Coturnix japonica: one gene and its partners. The protein of the gene in region 4 purifies or fractionates together with the protein of the main gene of each other region. This does not show direct contact. Links are inferred from orthologs where the notes say so. Each region holds a gene or a part of one and is shown on either strand. Other genes may lie near its edges.

Region 1 (3,515 bases), on a different chromosome or scaffold from region 4:
GAGAGTTCCCAAAGTACGTAAGAAGCTGCGAACGTCACGCAGCAGCTCATCAGGGCGCATCAAGACCACAATGATCAGGGTCCCCTCTGCCAGCTTCTCAGCTTTATCCCCAGCACAGTCAAGACCGTCCCAGCCACACTCCTCACTATTACAACCCTGGTCACAGCGGCCGTCTGCATAGTGGTCAGCGCAGTACTTGTCATACCTAGAACAGCAAGAGGGTTAGAGGCAGCATACTGGACATTCACATCCTGTATAATACACCAACAGCCTAGAGCTTACACTTTACATCTGCTTGTAGTCATCAGTGGTTGAGGTAAAATGCCAGTTGTGCTCAGGATACAAAGATGTAACCCCAGCATATGGGTGGCAGGGAAGAAGTATAAAGCAGAACATCCCAGAAAGAGATGGTTCTGTTCTGATACCAGTGAGAGAAAACAGCTTATTCTGCCTATCACAAAAAAGCTACATCATCCTCAAGGGAACATCACCTACTGTAGTATTTACTGTAATTAACCGAAGAGAAAGAAGCAGCGTGACAAACAAGCAGGAACACACATTCAGAGGCAGCAAACAGCTAGGACCAAAATACAGATGGTGCAGGTATGAGCAGGGATCAGGACAGGAGGCAAAGCTACTAAAAACTTGTACGAGGTGAAGTACCTGCTATTCACATTTGCACAGAAAGCACAACACATTCATCAAGCAGCAGGAAGCTGAGGCAGCAGGTGTGAAGTGCACCCACTGTTGAAAGCACTAGCAGAAGATATATTAGCGGCACAAAGAAACCAGCCTCAGGATCAAGCCTTACTTGCACATTCTGCTGTTTTGCTGACATTCAAAGTTGTCAAACAAGCACTCGGGTGTGTTACAGAACTCGTCACACTGCCCATTGAAAAGCATCCAGCAGCGCAATGAAGAGGAGCAGTTGGCCCAGGGATCCTCCATTGTCAGGGAACAGTCGCCTCCGTCCCACTGGCAGGCGTGAGTGTTACAGTCTTCATCACAATAGCCATCTCTCGCTTTTTCCGCACACTGGGAATCCAAACATCCCAGAGGCTCCTGGCTGGGATGTACGAGCTGTTCACACTGGCTGCCTTGGGTGTGATCGGGGCACTGACAATAATAGTAAGGAGGCTGAAAACGAGGGTGGCAGCTTCCACCATTCTGGCAGGGGGCGCTGGCACAGCCTGTGTTGGTCTGGCATTCCTCTCCCACAGCCAGCCTTGGGCAGTAGCATCGCGGACCAGAAGACGTCTGGATGCACTGCTCGCCCTTCTTGCATTTCACTTGCCCACAAGTACTGTGGCTGCTGAACTCACATTTTGCCCCAGAATAACCCTAGGGGGGGAAAAAAAGGGAAAACGGTCAGGCTCAATACTTATCCTTCAGCACTCTCAGGGGTGGAGGCAAGGTGTCCCATGCAATTTCATTCTCAACTGCCACTTTCTTATGGTACCTTTGGTTTCCAGTAGATAAACTGAATATGTGTACAGTTTGCCTGAGGACACTATTTCTCGTACTACAGAGAAGAACCTCAACCAACACTAGCCTAGTGAAGTTAATGTGACTAATGTGACTATAAGCCAGCAGACTCCACAGCTGAGGCAGGTGATTCTGTCTCAGGACACAGCACTTACCGGAGGACACTGGCAGATGAACCCATCAGGCATATTGCTGGCAACAGCACAAGTGCCTCCATTTTGACAGGGCTTCCTGGGACACACATCTATGACACTCTCACAGTGACGACCTGTGATACAGACACATGGAGAGAAATGATCAGAGATATGCATGTGTGCATCATAAAATCATCACCAAGCAAAATATGCATTAAGAGCCAACAAGTCGAAAACTCCAACAAAGCTTTCCCCTTAGAAAAGGTAAAGACACCCTCAAATCAACCAAGGCTGAAGATGTTGAAGATTCCCCTGAGATCTCTTTACTTTTAGGGAGATGCTTAATGAATCCAATCTCTGGGCAAACAACTCCCACTGTCTTGCAAGGACAAATTAATGCATAGAATGTCTTCAGTACCAAGCAATGCTGGAAGTCACATAGGTGCCAAACTGACCACAGCAAGGAATCCTGAACACCTGTTAGGTCATCATACATACATCTTACATACTGCATCTGATTTCCTGGGAGAAAATTATGCCTTAGGATCAGATACAGCATCAGCGCACAGGGTGAGCAAGCAGAGCCTCCCTATGCTCATCAGCTGGATGGTGAGGTTGCATGGACTGGAGTTTGCAGCAGCATCCAGAGGGAAACTCTGGCGCCAGCATTGAAAAAGATGAGGATGACCTAAACATGACTTGGACCTCCCAGGAAAATATTATAGAAGTCTTTACACATGTGAAGCCAAAACTGACTGTTCACAGACAGGAGCAGACAGGGCAGGATGGCCCACAGAGGCCTGGCATCCTATTAGTCAGAAACCACAGTAAAGCCACCTCCATCTCCTCCAAGGCAGAAGGGTCAGTGTGGAATGTGCAGAAGACAAACAGCTAGAGGAAGAGACATGCTCCCCCCCCGTGCCTAACATTTCCAGACAGATTTCATGTCTGAGACACAACAGCTCTGCCTGTTCCCCCTAAGGAGCTGCAGGTCTGCACTCCCCATGCTGCAAGTTCCAACAACCCTTCCATGAGAGCCAGAAGCAATGTGAGGGACAACTTGTAAAAGGGTTGTATTTAAGTCTGCCTGCTAAGCTAATGTCCTGCAGCAGTGTCCTTTCAGGAACTTCCTTTGTCAGTCTTGTTATTTCTTTGCATCATATAATCACGGAGTTAGGGGAAAAATCTCAAAATCTTTAACTTTTAAGAAAAAAAAAGTAAAAACTATTGGTAAAGCATGCAGAGGGGGTCACTGGTAAGCAGGGAAAGTGAAAGGTTTTAATGGAGGAAAACTGCATCCACGAGAACTAAACTGACATGCAGACTGGAAAGCTGAAAGTTCAGACGCATCTGGAGACTATTAGCTTAAACTTAGGCCCAGCAGGAGGCAGAAAGCAGAACAGCAGTAATGCTGACAAAGAAGAGGACTAGACAGAGCTAGACACAAGATTGTGTAGCATGATTTCTTTTTGCAAAGCTCTGATTCAAATTTGGATTGTGGAAGGATCACATAAATAAGTGAGGAATGCACAGATTGCCCACGCACAGAGTAACCCATCCTGACCTCCATCTCCAACATAAGGAAGAAGGAGAGGGAGGGTTACAAAAGGAGGCCAAAAGCTAATAATGGATACTATAACACTGATTTATGGAGGAAATCCACATGCTGCTTTGCAAAAGCGGAGCTGACACACAGAGAGTTACAACTTCAACAACAGAAATGTGAAGATATGAAGGAGAGAAAAGTATCTGGAAAAACAAAATTGGCAGTCAAGAGTCTCAGGAGATTCTTTTGTCTGAGACAACCCTGGAAGTCCAACGTCTTAGTTTTTTTCCCCTAAAAAAAGAAGTGTTCAAGAACTGAGACAGCACAGAGGAACAATCAGATATTGTAGA
Region 2 (4,212 bases), on a different chromosome or scaffold from region 4:
TGGCTTTTTCCAGAGCATCCTTTTATTGGCCTGAAAGTCAGTACCACTGAGCTCATCTTCGCTTCAGAGGAGATGTCTCGAGGCTACTTGTTACTTGATTTCTTAGTGAGCAGAGGAACATTGTGCTTCGTACCATTAGGCTGCAGGGTAGCTTTGCTCTGTACAAACATGAAATCCTTCCATGCACATGAGGAGCACCAGAGGTTGGCACGTGAGCATTTACTCAATGGATTGCCCTGCAGCAAACCTTGCCTCAACCAGCATTCCCATTATTCCTGTGCAGGTTTTTGGGGGCTCTTTGGGTGTAGAAATGGGTATTGAGAGGTCTTGAAACACAAAAGTGATGCTTCTATTGTGTTTTTAGGCTTATTTTTTATACATTCAGAACACAATTGATTTTGAGGTGTGTTTTCCTAATGGCTCAGCTGTCTGAAATCTGTGTATGAAGTCTGTGTACAGGCTGACCTGTTTTGTGTGTGCAAATAAATCTTCAGACTGTGTGTGATCTGGCACATTTTCCTCTATGATCCTATGAGAATTAATGTAATTAATGGCTTGCAGGGAGCCAGCAGAGGGAGTGCATGAGCATAAAACACCACAAGTCCAAGTTTAGGGTGATTTTGGTGGAGAGAATTAAGAGCAAACCCGGACACAGGTAGTGCAGCTGATCATTGCAACCAAGCAGAATAGTTATCAGAAGTGGCTCAAATTGGGTTTAGGTCAATGGGGTGGTCACTTAGTGCCTAGAACCCAGATGGGAACCCAGCCCTTACAACAGCACTGGTTCTCCAGGCAGGGCATACAGCAGGGAGGTGGCATTGAGAGGGAGAGATTGGCATTTTGCAGCTTGCAGATGGAATATAGGAAACCTTTCTCTTTAGAATTGAAGTCTTATATGGAGGAAAAGACAATTTCCTGTTGAAAAGCATCCGAAGGGGAAAGGCAGCGCTTCAAAGAACTGGGAACTGCCTGTTTTGTGGGGCTGAAAAGCAAAGCCTGGTGCAGGTGTCCACATGGTCTCTCTTATTCATCCTCCCAGCATTGCCATGTTAGGTCAGATGCTCATGGAGCAGTGCAGGGAGGATATTGCTTATTGGTTTTTTTTTTTATCTTGCCTAAAATATGCTTTTTCCCCCCCCACTGTGCTGAACTTGTCTGGCAATTGATTTTCAAGCAAGTCGGGTCTCACTGATCCAAGTTTGATCTGTGCTAACAAGAACAAAACGATATCCCTACCCCAGATCATAGGCAATTAACACTGCTGATACCATTAATCATTTGAAAGGGGGGGGGATAAGCACAAGGGGGGGAAGCTGCCATCCAAGCCCTTGGTGGCATGGCTGCTCAGGAGCCCTCGGAGCCTTGCTTTGGACTGGCTGAGCATGTAAGCCCAAATGCTCTTAATGTCTCCTTAAACACAGCTCTGCTGTGCCAGTGGAGCTGATGACAAGCAGAACAGGAGCTTGCAAAGTATGAGGAAGTGTCTGGAGCAGGTTGGGTCTTCCACCCCTAAATTAACCCTGTAGCTACTGATTGCTAAGCGCAATTAAATGTTATGTAGAGTCCCTTTCTCCTTCCAACCAAAGCAGCCAGCCAGGGCCGGGCCATTTAACACACACCTTCATTTTTTTTTCCCAAGTGAGAACGTAGCTTCTACAATTATGTTTGGATAACGAGTTCTTTGTGGCATGTGAAAATGAGCATTCCCTTCTGAGTAACGCGCTGTGACTCAGTACTATTGCATGGCTGCTTATTTTCATTCAAGAGCTTGTTTTCATTCAAGAACTTTCCCTTTGGAGGATTTTCTTTCCCTAAAATCTGTTGACTTTCTAAAAAGAAGTTGTCAAAAGCTCTGCGGGTTCAGGCACTTGTTTGACAGCTGAGCAGAGGAGGAGGGATCTCATGATGGGAACCAGCAATGCAACCTACGCTTGTGAGCTGGGGTCCATGGGACCAGGAGTGATGCCTGCAGGTAGGGGAACCTTGCTGTGTTAGGAGGGGTTTTGCATGAGCTGCCTCCTGCAATCAGGTTTTGGGGGGTGTTTTCACTTGGCAGTTTCTCTGCACTTCATGTTTCTTCTCTCTGTTCCACTGCGGTGGCTAATAATTTTAAGCAGAACAACTAGCAGGTTCTTAAGTAGATTCAGGAGGGGAGGGAAGGGGGTATTGAAGTGCACAGAGAGGAGGAAAAGAGTTATAAAATGCTTTGCCAGCTGGCAGGGTAGCAGCTCTTAGGATCGGTCAGACAAATGGGATCGGTGCTGGCGGAGCTTGGCTTCGATCACCCTTTGAGTACGCATTATTTTAAGCGGTTGAGATCATTTGGTGAGGCTTGAAGCTGACTTTTAAATGCTCTGATATGTCTGTGCTCCTGCAGTGTAAAAGCTCTCCCCTGTGCTGGGGGCTGGAAGGTGCAAAGCCACAGGGTGATGCTTTGGGACGCTTTGTAGCCGTCAGTCAGAGCAAAGCGGGGCTGCTGGGTGATTCACTGGCAAGTGAATCAAACTGCACGTGCTTTTTGATGAGACACAGCTGTGCAAATCACTTTGGTGCTTTTTGAGTGTTGGTGTTGCTCAGATATTAACTTTAGTCTGTGTAGAAGCTGCAGTCCCAGCTCAGCACAAGCAAAGAGCATCCGGAGAGCTTCTCTGCCCCTGGGACAGCTAGCACAGCTACTGATATTGGATGTTCTCCTTTAGGAGCTGGTGGGGTGCTTGAGCTTTGTGGCCTTTTTGCCTTGAGGCACTGGGGCAGGGTTATAGCACAGGGCTTTTGCCATCACTGTGGAAGGTGAGTGTTGCAATCTGCGGTTGTTCCCAGCTCCCTGGTCTCATGCCCTATGAACAGATCTGCATCTACGGCATGTCAAGCTTGGTGCCCAAATATCCCTTCCACTTGTTTATCTGGAGCTGAATTCATTGCTAATCTTGTTCTCCTCACCAAAAAAATAGCACGCTGTGGGTGTGAACTTGGAGGATGGTAATTTGTTATGCTTAGGAAATGAGGATCTAGCTAAGTGAATGCATTTGGGTATAATGATATCAAGAGGTCTGGTAAAGCCGTAATGAAGTCCTGAATACTCTGCAGTCATTTTCAGTTCAGTTAAGGGAAGGCAGAGGGATTTCCTTGCTCTCCAGAGCACAGGCTGCCATCCCGATGCCCTGCCAGCTTCCTCTTCAGTCGGCTTCCTGTAATTTTGCAGCAAGAATGTTGGGATTGCATGTGTGTATTTAATGAGCATTACAAAAAAGATGTCTGGGAGAGATGTGCCCAGCAGGAAGCTGTGCTGGGAAGCAAAGTTGGGCTGATTTTAATCGTGGTGTCATGCACTCTGCCTGCGGGTGCTGCTTGCTGTAATCTCCATCCTTTGAGGCCGCTGGTATCGATGCTGGCATGTGTGGCATCCCAGGAAGGATAAAAACCATCTCAGGTCCAGGTTTGTTTCCTTACCTTCTTTCTTAGGGAAGCCTTTCACAGCCAAGCAGCACCATCAGACACAGAACCTCTCCTGTAAGCATAGGGGACCAGGCAAAGCTGCCTGGAACTTCTGCACCTGCAGGGATGCACGACACCTGCAGATCACAGGGGAACAGCAGCAGGGCTTCCTATAGCTCCTGCCTTGCAAAGCAGGTGCTCTCCTACACCCTAAGCTGCTTGCACACAGTTTGTCTTCCTCCAGATCTTGCAGTAAGATCTGTGGCTGTGATTATTCTGTGTGCTGGAGCTCCAGAAGATTAAAATCGGGATTTGACTGTGGTCAGACTTTGTGATCTTAGTGGTCTTTTCCAATCTTAACACATCTGTGATGTGTTTGCTGCTCCAGCAGTGGTGAGCCTCCTTGCTTTGGTGATGGCGATGGTTGAGCATTTGTATGGAGCCTTTTGTCCACGTGCAGAGGAGGCTTAGTTGTGAGCTCATTCTGAAGCAGTGTGCAGCCTGCTTCAGAGCCCTGCAAAAACCACGTCCTTGGTTTGAAGCTTTCTGACGCAGAGCTCTGTATAGGCCTTTCTGAGCAACGTAGTGCTCAGTTTATATTTCTGCTGCTGTTGAGTTTCTTTTGGTGACCTCAGTGTTCTCTTTTTTCCCCACTTGCAGCTGTGAAGTGGAATGCCATGGCCAGCTCCTCAGACAGTGAAGATGACAGTTTCATGGCCGTGGATCCAGAAGAAGCTGTGGTTGAGGGAACAATGGAGCAAGATGAGGAGCCACATG
Region 3 (2,983 bases), about 62 Mb from region 4:
TTTACTCTCCTAGCTTCTAATACACATGCTACAGGCCAGTTCTGGCAGCTGTGGTGGCAAAAGGGAAGGACTTACATTCTTGCATTTAGCACAGGTCTTGGCAAACTTGTGCTCGTGGCAGGAGACACAGTAGAATTCGTCACCCTTCGGGAAGAAGCTCCCAGCTCCAATCACTTGCTTGCACTGGCTGCAAGTGAAACAGTCCTTATGCCAGACCATCTTCTTGTATTCAACATTTTGGTCTCCTACAACAGAAAAAAAAAGAACACTGTAGGTGGGATTTCAGGCCTGTGACAAGCATACAATGACTTCATGCAGCGTAATGGCTGTAGAAGAGATCTGCACGTACAGAACTTAAACAGCTCTTCACAACTTAATTTCTACATCTGATTTTAGTAAGGAGCCTTACCTGCGATGATAGGCTTGAAGCAGCCCTTACACCTGGGTGCATCCTCAGTGGCAGTGCAGTTGCTACACCAGACCTTGTTGTTCTCCCTCAGCATGAAGGGCTCATTGACCAAGGACGTGTAGCACTTGAAGCAGCGGAAGCAGCTGTCATGCCAGTAACGGTTCTTGAAATGCAGCTCCTGGAATGATCAGAAACAGGGAGCAGTAAGCCCTTCTTCTTGCTGAGCGGCATACAACCAAGTTACTGCCCCAATGGTAGTTATCATCACATACAAAAAGCTGCATCTGTGAAGAGCCTAAACGCACTTTGGGATTTGGGGGGTAGCACAAGGTGCTTCAAAGCTAACAACTTTGAGATGTGGGGTTCCATAAGCAAGGGCTACTTTTCATCCTGTGCCTTCCAGTTCAGGTGTATGTTATTATTGCCATAGACATAGCAGCAAACATTTACAAACTGATTTAAGAAATGACAATAATCAGATCCCATGTTCCTCTGAGTGCACCGAAGCAGTTACCTTGGAGTCAGCACCGATGGGTTTCTTGCACTCGATGCAGGTGTTGGCACAGATCTTCTCGAAGCACTTGACGCAGCAGTGGCGGCCCTCCTTCTGCACGTACTTCTTGCCTTGCAGCGAGTCGCGGCAGTAGTGGCAGTCAAAGCGCTCCGACATGGTGCCCACGCTGTAACTGCTGGGCCCTGCGGGAGGGATGGGGGTAAACTTACAACACTGAGGTAACTGTTCTGGCTTGACAAGTGATGAAAAAATGGCTCAGCTATGAGCGTGTGGTGGTGTCGTGTGCCTGAAGGGCTTGTTGCTGGAGAAAGCAGCTTCTGGGACAGCAGAAGTTACCTCAGCAGTTCTATCAGCTCAGTGCTTGATAAAACAAGCCAGCTCTCCGCCACCTGCACCAGCACTAGAGCTTTCCATGTGCCTCCAGGATAGGTTAACACACCATTGGGCTCAGGATCTGGGCTGACTCCTGGGGCCACCCAGCTTTCTGGAAGCACCGTGCTTGCAGTTAGCACAAGCAGTGTTTTAGTAACGCAAATATTTTCCTTGGCCTTAATAGCCATCCAAGATATGAATGCTAGATTTCTGCCTACAAAGAGGCAGGATGGGCTCTGGCCAAACACAGAAACGCAGCTCTCAGCCTCCTGGAGAATGACCTGCTGTGTTTGCTTGCCCCATGGCTCAGGGAAGAGCAGGGCCACACGACAGCCTTTCCCTGTCACCTTATTCAGAGGAAGAACACCAGACTGTTTTGGTTCATGTCAAGCAGGGATAATGGTACCTAATCACTCACAATGACTTGGGTCATCATGGTGGACCCGCTGCAGCCCTGGCGAGATCCTGGCTGAGGCACCGCCTAATTTGTGTCCAGAAATCACCGCCAACCAAGAGCGGAGCAGAATAGTTTCCATGCTTCCAGCCCAAGCCTGCAGCCAGCTGCAGCCCTCCAAGGCCTTTTGTGCCAAATACTTGTGCAGCTTCCAGCTGTCTCTGTCACTGGGCTTTCATATACAAAGTCACGAGGAACAAAAAAAAAACCAAGAAAATATCTCCCTACACTTAATGAAATGCAGCAGATCCCTGCCTTTCCACATGCCCTTCCTCAGAGGAAGCCTACAGAGCTCACAGGCCAGGCTCAGCACCCAGATGGAGCCAGGGCACCAAGAAGTTCAGATATTCTTTTCCTGACAGAGCTGAAGCACCAGCATGGACTGAAGGAAGGAAGCGGTCAGGCCGTGTGGGGTAGCTGTCATCCCAGGAATAGCTGCACAGTGCCCATCACTTGCCTGCTGGGTGCTGCGTAGGCAGCCCTACCACTTTATGGCACGAGCACCTGCTTACACAACAGCTACTTGGGCACCTGCCCACCCCAGTAATTCAAGAATTACCATCAACCGCATAACCCAGGCTGCCAGCCATGGAATCACTGCTAAGCCCCTGCTCATCAAACACGAGCATGCATCAGATTGAGCAAGCCCTGACCCAGGCACAACCACACCAACACCAGCCTGAGCTGCAGATCAAGCTGGAGCGTTTCTGCTCCAGAAACCAGGACAGATGATCCCAGGGAGAACAGTGTGGCACACGGAGGCTGCAGCACAGGCAGGGGCCAGGTTCACTCCCTTTCCCTTCCTTAGAACTAAGTGAAGTGGGACAGAGGCCGAGCTGGCCAAGGTTGCGCTCTGTGGGGGCTGGGGCTGGAACTGCTGTTTGGCCAAGGTCAGGAGACGGCCACGTCCTGCTGACAGCCACGCCAAGGGCTGTGTTTGTACTGCTTCAAGGAAGTGAAACAAACAAACAGCTGGGAAACATGGAAACTATGCGAGCCACCTCCAGCCCTGCTGAGCTTCATCAAGCGAGCGGGTTTTATTTAGAAGAAATGCAGTTGCACAGAGTCCAGAGCAAATGGTATCTTAACGTTCTTCATCTCAGGTTTGGGTTTGCTTTCAAGCAGAACATGTAATTGCGAGCATATGGCTCAAGGAGTAACACAACCCTGTGTTCCTGTGTAACACAACACGTGCTGACATGGGAAACATTTATGACAGCAGCTCTGAGCCTCA
Region 4 (4,286 bases):
CATCTGAACTAATTTAAGCTCCGTTCACGTTTTGTCAGTGTACTGCTCACTTATTTGCCTTATTTTAAATTAAAAGAAAACAGTGACAAATTCTTGCTGCACAACTTGTCCAGCAGATCTTGAAACTTACAATACACAAAAACACGTTTTTATGTTTGTTACACAGAAAACTATAAATCCCTAACAGCTCTGAACTTCGGCAACAGCACCAGTTATATGCACATGCAGGTGCTATAATGAGCAAGTCAGGCTCCCAAACCTCAATGCCTCCCACCATCTATCCTTTGCAGGTCTACTGACCTTCACCTCCCCAGCACATCAGAACCACTGACACCTCCCCCCACCCCCAGCTAACAGAAGGTGTGTGTGCCCCCCCCCCCTGTGTGGCTCCTGTCCCCTCCGAAATGTGGGAGCAGTACATATGGCAGAGGATTCATCTCTCCGTGACTCACTGACTAGACAACAGATTACCCTTAAGCTATTCTCCACAGACAAACAAAACCCTATAGGTTAGCTGTCTCACTTTGAATAGAATGACATTCTTCATTTCAATCACTCTGCACCTTTTAATTCATAAAGAAAAAAGTTAAGAGGTGCCTACGTGGAGCAAAGGAAGCAATACACACACGGTATTTGTTTGCACCATGGCCAGCAGCTCTGATCCAAGAGGAGGACACAAGGACACCTCAAAACTGTGTGACACAGAAACCACACACAGGACAGCTCATTCTTTAAGGCAACATCTACTCATGCACAGCTCTGAAAACAGTAGATTAATTCTCTCTGTGAGTACACTAATTACAGCCTTAAAAAACTGTACAAACAACTAACCTATACAGAAACAGAACAGCTGCAATTACTGCAACATAATAAAACCCATCCTCTAAGTACCAACAGGTCCCTTCCTCAGAGGCACAGAAAGCATCAAGTCACACCAGGTCCTCTTACAACCCACCAACTGGACCAGAACCAGAGCTCCAATCACGGCATGCCCTGCCATCAGCCACATGCCAGCTTCCCCCAGCTGCTCATCCAAACTGAAGTTAATGATTTCACTCTAATCACCTCGTGAACAGAGGTGCTGCCTGTAGCAACATGAATCTTCTGAACAGATGCAAAGTGAGTTCAGTGAATCTTTTGCAACTCTTTCCCTGTGCATACAGAGCAAGGTATAACAGGAGGTTGTCACACATACTTAACTGTGGTTCAGTTTTTGACTCTGTAAATAAATTCAGCTACTACCTCTTCACTAATGTCACCTTACAGAATCACAGAATATCCCCAGTTGGAAGGGAACCACAAGGATCATTGAGTCCAACTCCTGGCTACCTGTAGGACCAATAAAATTCAAACTTTATGTCTGAGAGTGGTCCAAACACTTCTTGAACTCAGTCAGCTTGTTGCCTGCGGAACCTGTTTCAGTAGCAAACCACTCTGTGGGGAAGAATCTTTTCCCAATCTGACACAGTCCCACACAATTCCTTCAGGCCCTGTCAGTGTCACCAGCGAACAGAGATGCTGACTAACGACTGTTCCTTGTGCATCCTACCCTTGATATTAATAACCAGATTCCTGTACCATCCCACATACTGACATGAACACAGTATATCCCACAGCAGCTCCTATAACCAAGATACCGACTTTTTAGTCACATTGCACAATGCAAGATATATAAATAAGACATGAAACAAGACAGAAAGTATTGGGTGTACTACTTAGGTTGCTCTAAAAGTAACGCCTCCTATTAATTTCCATGGAAATAACAACAGATACAATGTACATAATAGCACTACTTGATAGAGCAAATTCTCAGCTATAAAACTCTATCTCAACACAGTCACTACCATTAGCTGTGTACTTTGGACAGCAATGAACAAAAGTGTATGTCACACTCAAAAATCTGCACAAGGGGTGGTGACCCACTGTTTCTCAGCTGTTACAACAGTGTTGTTACTAGGAGAATGTTGCCCATGCAGCTCATCTTTCATCAGCACAGCCAGAATACTGAAGGAGTCAAATCCTGGACCGTACGGTGGGTGTGGTAGGACAGTCCAGCCAAGATTGGCAATGTGCTCCATGGTCTTCAAACTGGTATGAGGCCTGGCATTATTGTGTTGCAAGAGAAAGGTTGTCTTTTTCTCTGGCCTGACTGGAAGTTCGAGTCTTCAGCTTAGTCACCACTGTGATGCAGTGGTCAGAGCTGATGGTTTGTTTGGCTACCAGGAAATCCAAAAGGATCACCACTTTCCCAAAAGACAGCGCTTTACCTGCTGAGGGCTGTCTTGAACTTTCTCTTCAAAGGGGAATTCAAATGTTACACTCCATGGACTGCCCTTTTGACTCAGGCTTGTGGTGGTTACACCATGTCTCATCACTGCTGATGATGTGATCTAGGAAACTGTTTCAGTTTAATAGGTCCAGACATACTTGTGTAGGGTGTTTTCTCAGTTCCTGTCTAAGTATTCATGGGACCTGGCACGAAGAGCTTGTGATATTTCAGTGTTGCCACATTATTTCCAATAAACAGAAGCCGACACTCAGCTACATCCACGGCCGCCTGGTCACAAACCACCTATACACAGCAAGGAGCTGATCAAGACAGTCTTCATTTTGCAGCATGCATGACCATCAAGAACACAATTTGTCCAATACATCACTGTCATCACTGCTGACACACACCACCCATCATCTCACCGTATCAACATCCATCGTTGGGTCTCCATAAACGTTCAGTGAGAGTTGATGAATGTCAGTCAGCGCCAATTTCTCCTCACAGCAGAATTCAACAACACACCTTCGCTTCATACACACCTCCATGACAGACACCATTGGTCTTAGTGCCCTCTGCTGCCATCTGTCACATGGCAACAACACGGAACAGAACACTGGTGGGAAGGTTTAACCTCTGCTGTCATAATACCAATACCTGCCTGACATTGTAAGCCAACATCATAAGATAGGAGGCATTACCTTCAGACTTTCAGAGCAGCTCTCACATTTAATTCTTCATCTGGTTTGCTCTTTCCATACACGTTCAATTTGCTATAGAAACTTGTATTAATGGTATGACCAGAAGTGAAAAAATACAGCAACTGCCATGCAGAAGGCTTTTTTATTTCGTGATGCTAAGAATTTGCAAGCGCAACAAGTACATTATCTGCAGCTCGGTACTAAACAACAGGCACTGTATAAGCTATGACTGCTGCTACTTTAACCTTTCATATTTACTGGCATGTTAAAATCTGAGCCAGTTCAGTTATTTCAAGGGTATCTGACAAGCTTGGTAGAGATTGCAACATTCATTACGAAGTACTGTTCCAGGTGTGCTGTACTGAAATGCTTGACATACAGTCAAGTTACCACTACAATTCACAGAACTAATTCAGCTCAACCTGTTTTCCCAACCTACTGCACTGCAAACATGAGACCAGCATTAAGCTTGCCATAATGTGCTGTTGCAGACAGCTGCACCTGTTCAAACTATTATTTTCCCAGTTCTGTATTTTCTCCAAACACCACTTCATATTCTATTACTTCATGTATTTACTAATGATAGTTTGCATGAACTAATTTCACTTGTACATTCTGCACTACAGAAATAACTTTGCTTATACATCATGACCCAAATCATCCCTCTTTCCAAATCTATCTTCTACATTTAGCCCTGTTTCCCTGTTCATTCCCTGTTTCTCCTTAAACTTCTCCATTGAGAAGTGCAAGTAGTGAGTGGGAAACAAACTTACTCCCTTTACATGCTACACCTGCCTGCCTCTCAAGTAACTGTGGAAATGAAGAAGTGCACTAATATTAACCTTGTTCTGCTCAAGCTTTAATATTCTCAGGTTAGGTAAAACAAGACACAAAATACACAATGCATTTCAAATGTTTTCAGAAAATACAAGAATGTCAAATCCTATTCAGAATCCCTCACTCGGATACACCACATTATATAGTTTTCTATTGCTGAAAGAATGGGAAATTCCAGTGTTTCTAGCATCTACACAAGAGCTCAAACACAAAGAAAATCCATCTGTTCCTCTTTGACTCAACTAACACAACCCAACTTTCTTCTGTCATACAGTCTTTCTGTTGCTAACCTTAACTGTTCTGACCCCACCCCCTACCCCAGGACTGCATTTCAAGGCCTACGAATTAAAAATAATTAAAATAACTACGTTCTGCCATTTGGAAGAACAAAACTATGGAAAGATCCCATGCTGCTTCAGTCTCAACTTTGAAAACTGGTGGTCACTAAACTGCTCGAGCATCCTCATGCCTAGAATATG
Region 5 (3,515 bases), on a different chromosome or scaffold from region 4:
AACAGCAGGCTTCACAAGTCCACCAAACCAATCAGATGTCTACCTGGCAATCTGGGCCTTCTCATAGCCCACTGGCTGTTCCATATACCATGGAAAATCCCACCAGCCCTTCAGTTTACCAGCCGGACTTCAACAATCAGAAGCTCATGATGCCTAATATGGGAAATAAAAGCTCTCCAAGAGCTGGAGGCAATTACCATGTGAACATATTGGGTCATCAGCAAAACAGCATGAACCAGAACCCTGTGAATAGTCAAGGCTCAATGCTGGACTATGGGAACACCAAACCTCTTTCACATTACAAAGCAGAATGTGAGCAGGGTGTTGCAGTGCCAGGTCAGAACAAGACTCCCATGTTGGCTTACATACAGCAGCGCCAGCAGCAGCCACTATCCCACGTGAGTGATGACCAAAATGGAATGATCCTGTTGAAACCCAAGTCTGGAAACATTACCTACCGACTGCCACACAGTCAGGTACATGTTCTGATCTTTGTTACTTTTGTTTAGTGACTGACTTCAGGTTTTGCGAGAGGATGTTGGATAGGCAAGATTGAAGTATGGGTTACTCGATGGTGTTTCAGATCAGCTGCTGTGTTGTTTTAAAGAAGATGGTAATACACAGGGTGCTGAGGCAAGAGTCAAGCACTGTATTTTCCACCGAGGAAAGTTTTTAATATGCAATTTTAGGTCACGTTGGTAACGTGTGGTTTCCAGCTTAATATACTTTATGGGCAACAAATTATGTCACACTTCACAGAAGGTTCTTCTTACAAAGATAAATAGATGCTTTGTAAACTTTTGCCTGAAATAGCTCATAGAAATGCAGTGTTAAACAGCGTTCTAGCAGAAGCTTTGCTTTCTTTACCTTCTCCCTCATCCCTGACTTCTGTAGGAGTTGGCTCACTATAAACAGATACGCCTTCAGTTGCTGCTTTTTGGAGAGAGATGGGAGTGAGGGCTGCATTCTTGGTTACTTGGGTGTTACTTGGTGTTTTTCAAATCTAAGAGTTCATTACTGGTTAAGTTTGTGGGAATGGGAATGTTTCTTTAATAGGTAATGTTTGTCTGCTTGAAGGCTTTCCTATAAAGGAGAACTCCATGTTGTGCTTCTTTGTCTTACAAGATACAATAAATTTGCTATATAAAGATAAAAACATATAGCTGATATTACAGATGTGCTGCAGGTAGAAACATATATAGCACGTGAAGGAGAAGACTTTTAGGCACATGCTGCCAAATCCCCACAGTGCACATACTGGAAGACTTAATGTCAAAAAAGGTCTTTATTATCAGGACTAAAACTCCTGCAAAAGCTGATGGAGCTCCAGCTCTTGTAGTGTGTTCCTTCAGTAAAGCAAAACATAAAATACATGGCATAAAGGCCTGATTAGTCTGTGGTAAAGACCGCAGTGATGTAAAAATAAAAATGAGATCAATAATACATGCTTCATAAGACACAAGGAAAATTAATCTCTTTAAAAGCTATCGGAAGTAACGATCTAATGATATTTTTGGTGAAGGAAGAAAGAGGGGAAGGGTGAAGATGATTGTGTGTGTCACATCTATCTTTTGCTGACAAACTTGAAGGTGACCTTGTCTATGCTGCCATGTTTGCATTGAAATAACAGAAATCCTTATGAATAGTTCTGGAGAATTTCTAACAAGCTTGCTTACAGAACAACTTAGCACAGCATTACCTATATTTGGCTCATGCTTTCTTAAAAACTGCAGCAAGTGAGAACCAGCAGCGCAGACCATTAGCTGAATTCTGAATGTGAAAACAAATGTGTTTGCATAATTTGAAATGAGGCTGAACTGAGCTTGAAAATGATAACAAAATGTCAAATTCCAAATAGATTCTTATGTACAAAGAGATCAGTGCCAGGTCTTGATGGATAATCATTCCATAGTACTTTGACTTAATGGCTTTTCCCGAGTTCCTATCTCCAACACAGAAAGAAAAAAAAGCAGATTTATGAGAAAATGAATACAACCAGTTATCTATAGTTGTGTTTGTTCTGTGTAGTATCCATGAAGGCTGGAGTGGTAATGAAACGTTAGGACTCTTCATTTTGGTTAGCAATGTTTTTTCACCTATGAATAGTAAATTTTGATAGAAAAAAAAAAAGTCAACATTAGGAAGAGAGGTGTAAACTTTCAGAATTAAGTGTTGACAGGAGAGGCAGGATATAACTGTACGATGAAATTTGAAAGCTGGTTGGAAAGCTGCAAACAAAGGTAACTGAAGTTGGTGCATTTGAAAGTGCTGTTTGTAATGGCACCATTCCTCTGGCTGAGCAGAAGCGCACAAAGCTGCGTTCCCCTTTCTGAGCTGGAATTTGGGAAGTACTTTAAGTGAGGCTTGAGTTAAAGCCTCTGTTCCTGTATCCGCTGGAGCTTCTGATGTTAACTCCAACTCCTCATTTCTGTGTCTTTATTTGTAAAAATCCTGTGTCCTTTACAGGAGATGATAGAACTTGTGGTCATCTTTCCTTGTCTGTGTGACTGTACAAAGTCCTTGAGTTCTAGAGGGCTCGCCTCCTTCTGTAACTCACGTAATTGTTTTTATGTTCTGCAGGATCAAACTGCATCTCCTAATGTTCCTCGTGTTCCTGTTTCTGTCCCGGGTGCTGGTGTTGGTGCCCAGGCTCCTAATGTCACCATGGCAGGGAACCACAGCAACCAGTCGTATCTTAGCAATCAGCAGCAAGCAGCAGTGATGAAGCAGCACCAAATGCTGATGGACCAGCAGAAACAGAGAGAGCAGCAACAAAAGCACTTGCTCATGGAGCAACAGAAGCAGCAGTTCCTAATGGAGCAGAGACAACAACATCTGTTAGTTGAGCAGGTGAGGGGGATGAGCTATCTCTTTTCTTCCTTTCCACTGACATGCTTTGGTTGACCTGAAGCCGTGTTTGAAGTGTTATAGAACTACTACCACCTTATGAAATATGGGATGTAATTTACAAGATGTTTTGGTATAAATCACTGTTCTGTTTCATATAAAATCAACAACAAAACTTAACGTCTGGTTGCTGAGACGTCCTTTCTGTTACAAGGCACAATTGTGAATTAAAAGGATAAAACAGCTAGAATTTAATAGTGTGGAAGTGCAAGCTGATACTTACAGGAAGAGAAGATACACCGGTGATGATATAATTCTTTGCCTTCCTTCTTTCACAAAGGAAATAAGAGCAAAATAATAAAAGGTTGGGATACCCACGATGTTTTGGAGAGCTTTGAGCAAGGGACTGTGTAAGCTGGTTGAGTTTTGCCTTTCCTCTCTGTGAGTGCCATGACAGTTCATGTTTCAAATTCTAAATCATCTTCCATTTGTTTATTTGAGGAGAATAATTAGACATCTGCATCCAACTTGCATCTTACCCTGCCAACAGAGTTTAACTCTGCTATCCATCAGACTGTGCAGAAAGCTGCTTTAATCTCTCTCAGGGAAACAGGCTCCTTGCGTGAACCTTTCTAAGCTTTAAACCTTTTGCAAGTGTTTCAGCTGGG

What was found.
Region 1: the proteins of RBPJ (region 4) and NOTCH2 purify together in Homo sapiens (affinity purification with mass spectrometry; 3 studies listed by BioGRID and IntAct, counting the BioPlex papers as one, with this or other methods). This does not show direct contact. The link is inferred for Coturnix japonica from reciprocal best matches to the Homo sapiens genes RBPJ and NOTCH2.
Region 2: the proteins of RBPJ (region 4) and FBXO42 purify together in Homo sapiens (affinity purification with mass spectrometry; 3 studies listed by BioGRID and IntAct, counting the BioPlex papers as one, with this or other methods). This does not show direct contact. The link is inferred for Coturnix japonica from reciprocal best matches to the Homo sapiens genes RBPJ and FBXO42.
Region 3: the proteins of RBPJ (region 4) and FHL1 purify together in Homo sapiens (affinity purification with western blotting; 4 studies listed by BioGRID and IntAct, with this or other methods). This does not show direct contact. The link is inferred for Coturnix japonica from reciprocal best matches to the Homo sapiens genes RBPJ and FHL1.
Region 5: the proteins of RBPJ (region 4) and MAML1 purify together in Homo sapiens (co-immunoprecipitation; 12 studies listed by BioGRID and IntAct, counting the BioPlex papers as one, with this or other methods). This does not show direct contact. The link is inferred for Coturnix japonica from reciprocal best matches to the Homo sapiens genes RBPJ and MAML1.

Annotation. Positions count from the first base shown.
Region 1 is NC_029523.1:4,108,389-4,111,903, reverse strand, and holds part of NOTCH2 (neurogenic locus notch homolog protein 2), read right to left. Parts: intron 1,754-3,515; coding exon 1,641-1,753; intron 1,342-1,640; coding exon 812-1,341; intron 206-811; coding exon 1-205. UniProt on the Homo sapiens protein: Functions as a receptor for membrane-bound ligands Jagged-1 (JAG1), Jagged-2 (JAG2) and Delta-1 (DLL1) to regulate cell-fate determination.
Region 2 is NC_029536.1:3,778,428-3,782,639, reverse strand, and holds the start of FBXO42 (F-box only protein 42), read left to right. Parts: upstream 1-1,404; 5' UTR 1,405-1,902; coding exon 1,903-1,972; intron 1,973-4,095; coding exon 4,096-4,212. UniProt on the Homo sapiens protein: Substrate-recognition component of some SCF (SKP1-CUL1-F-box protein)-type E3 ubiquitin ligase complex. Specifically recognizes p53/TP53, promoting its ubiquitination and degradation.
Region 3 is NC_029519.1:4,099,024-4,102,006, reverse strand, and holds part of FHL1 (four and a half LIM domains protein 1), read right to left. Parts: intron 1,106-2,983; coding exon 924-1,105; intron 588-923; coding exon 410-587; intron 246-409; coding exon 76-245; intron 1-75.
Region 4 is NC_029519.1:66,303,071-66,307,356, forward strand, and holds the start of RBPJ (recombining binding protein suppressor of hairless), read right to left. Parts: upstream 2,805-4,286; 5' UTR 2,724-2,804; coding exon 2,695-2,723; intron 1-2,694. UniProt on the Homo sapiens protein: Transcriptional regulator that plays a central role in Notch signaling, a signaling pathway involved in cell-cell communication that regulates a broad spectrum of cell-fate determinations.
Region 5 is NC_029528.1:4,563,437-4,566,951, forward strand, and holds part of MAML1 (mastermind-like protein 1), read left to right. Parts: coding exon 1-476; intron 477-2,580; coding exon 2,581-2,850; intron 2,851-3,515. UniProt on the Homo sapiens protein: Acts as a transcriptional coactivator for NOTCH proteins. Has been shown to amplify NOTCH-induced transcription of HES1. Enhances phosphorylation and proteolytic turnover of the NOTCH intracellular domain in the nucleus through interaction with CDK8.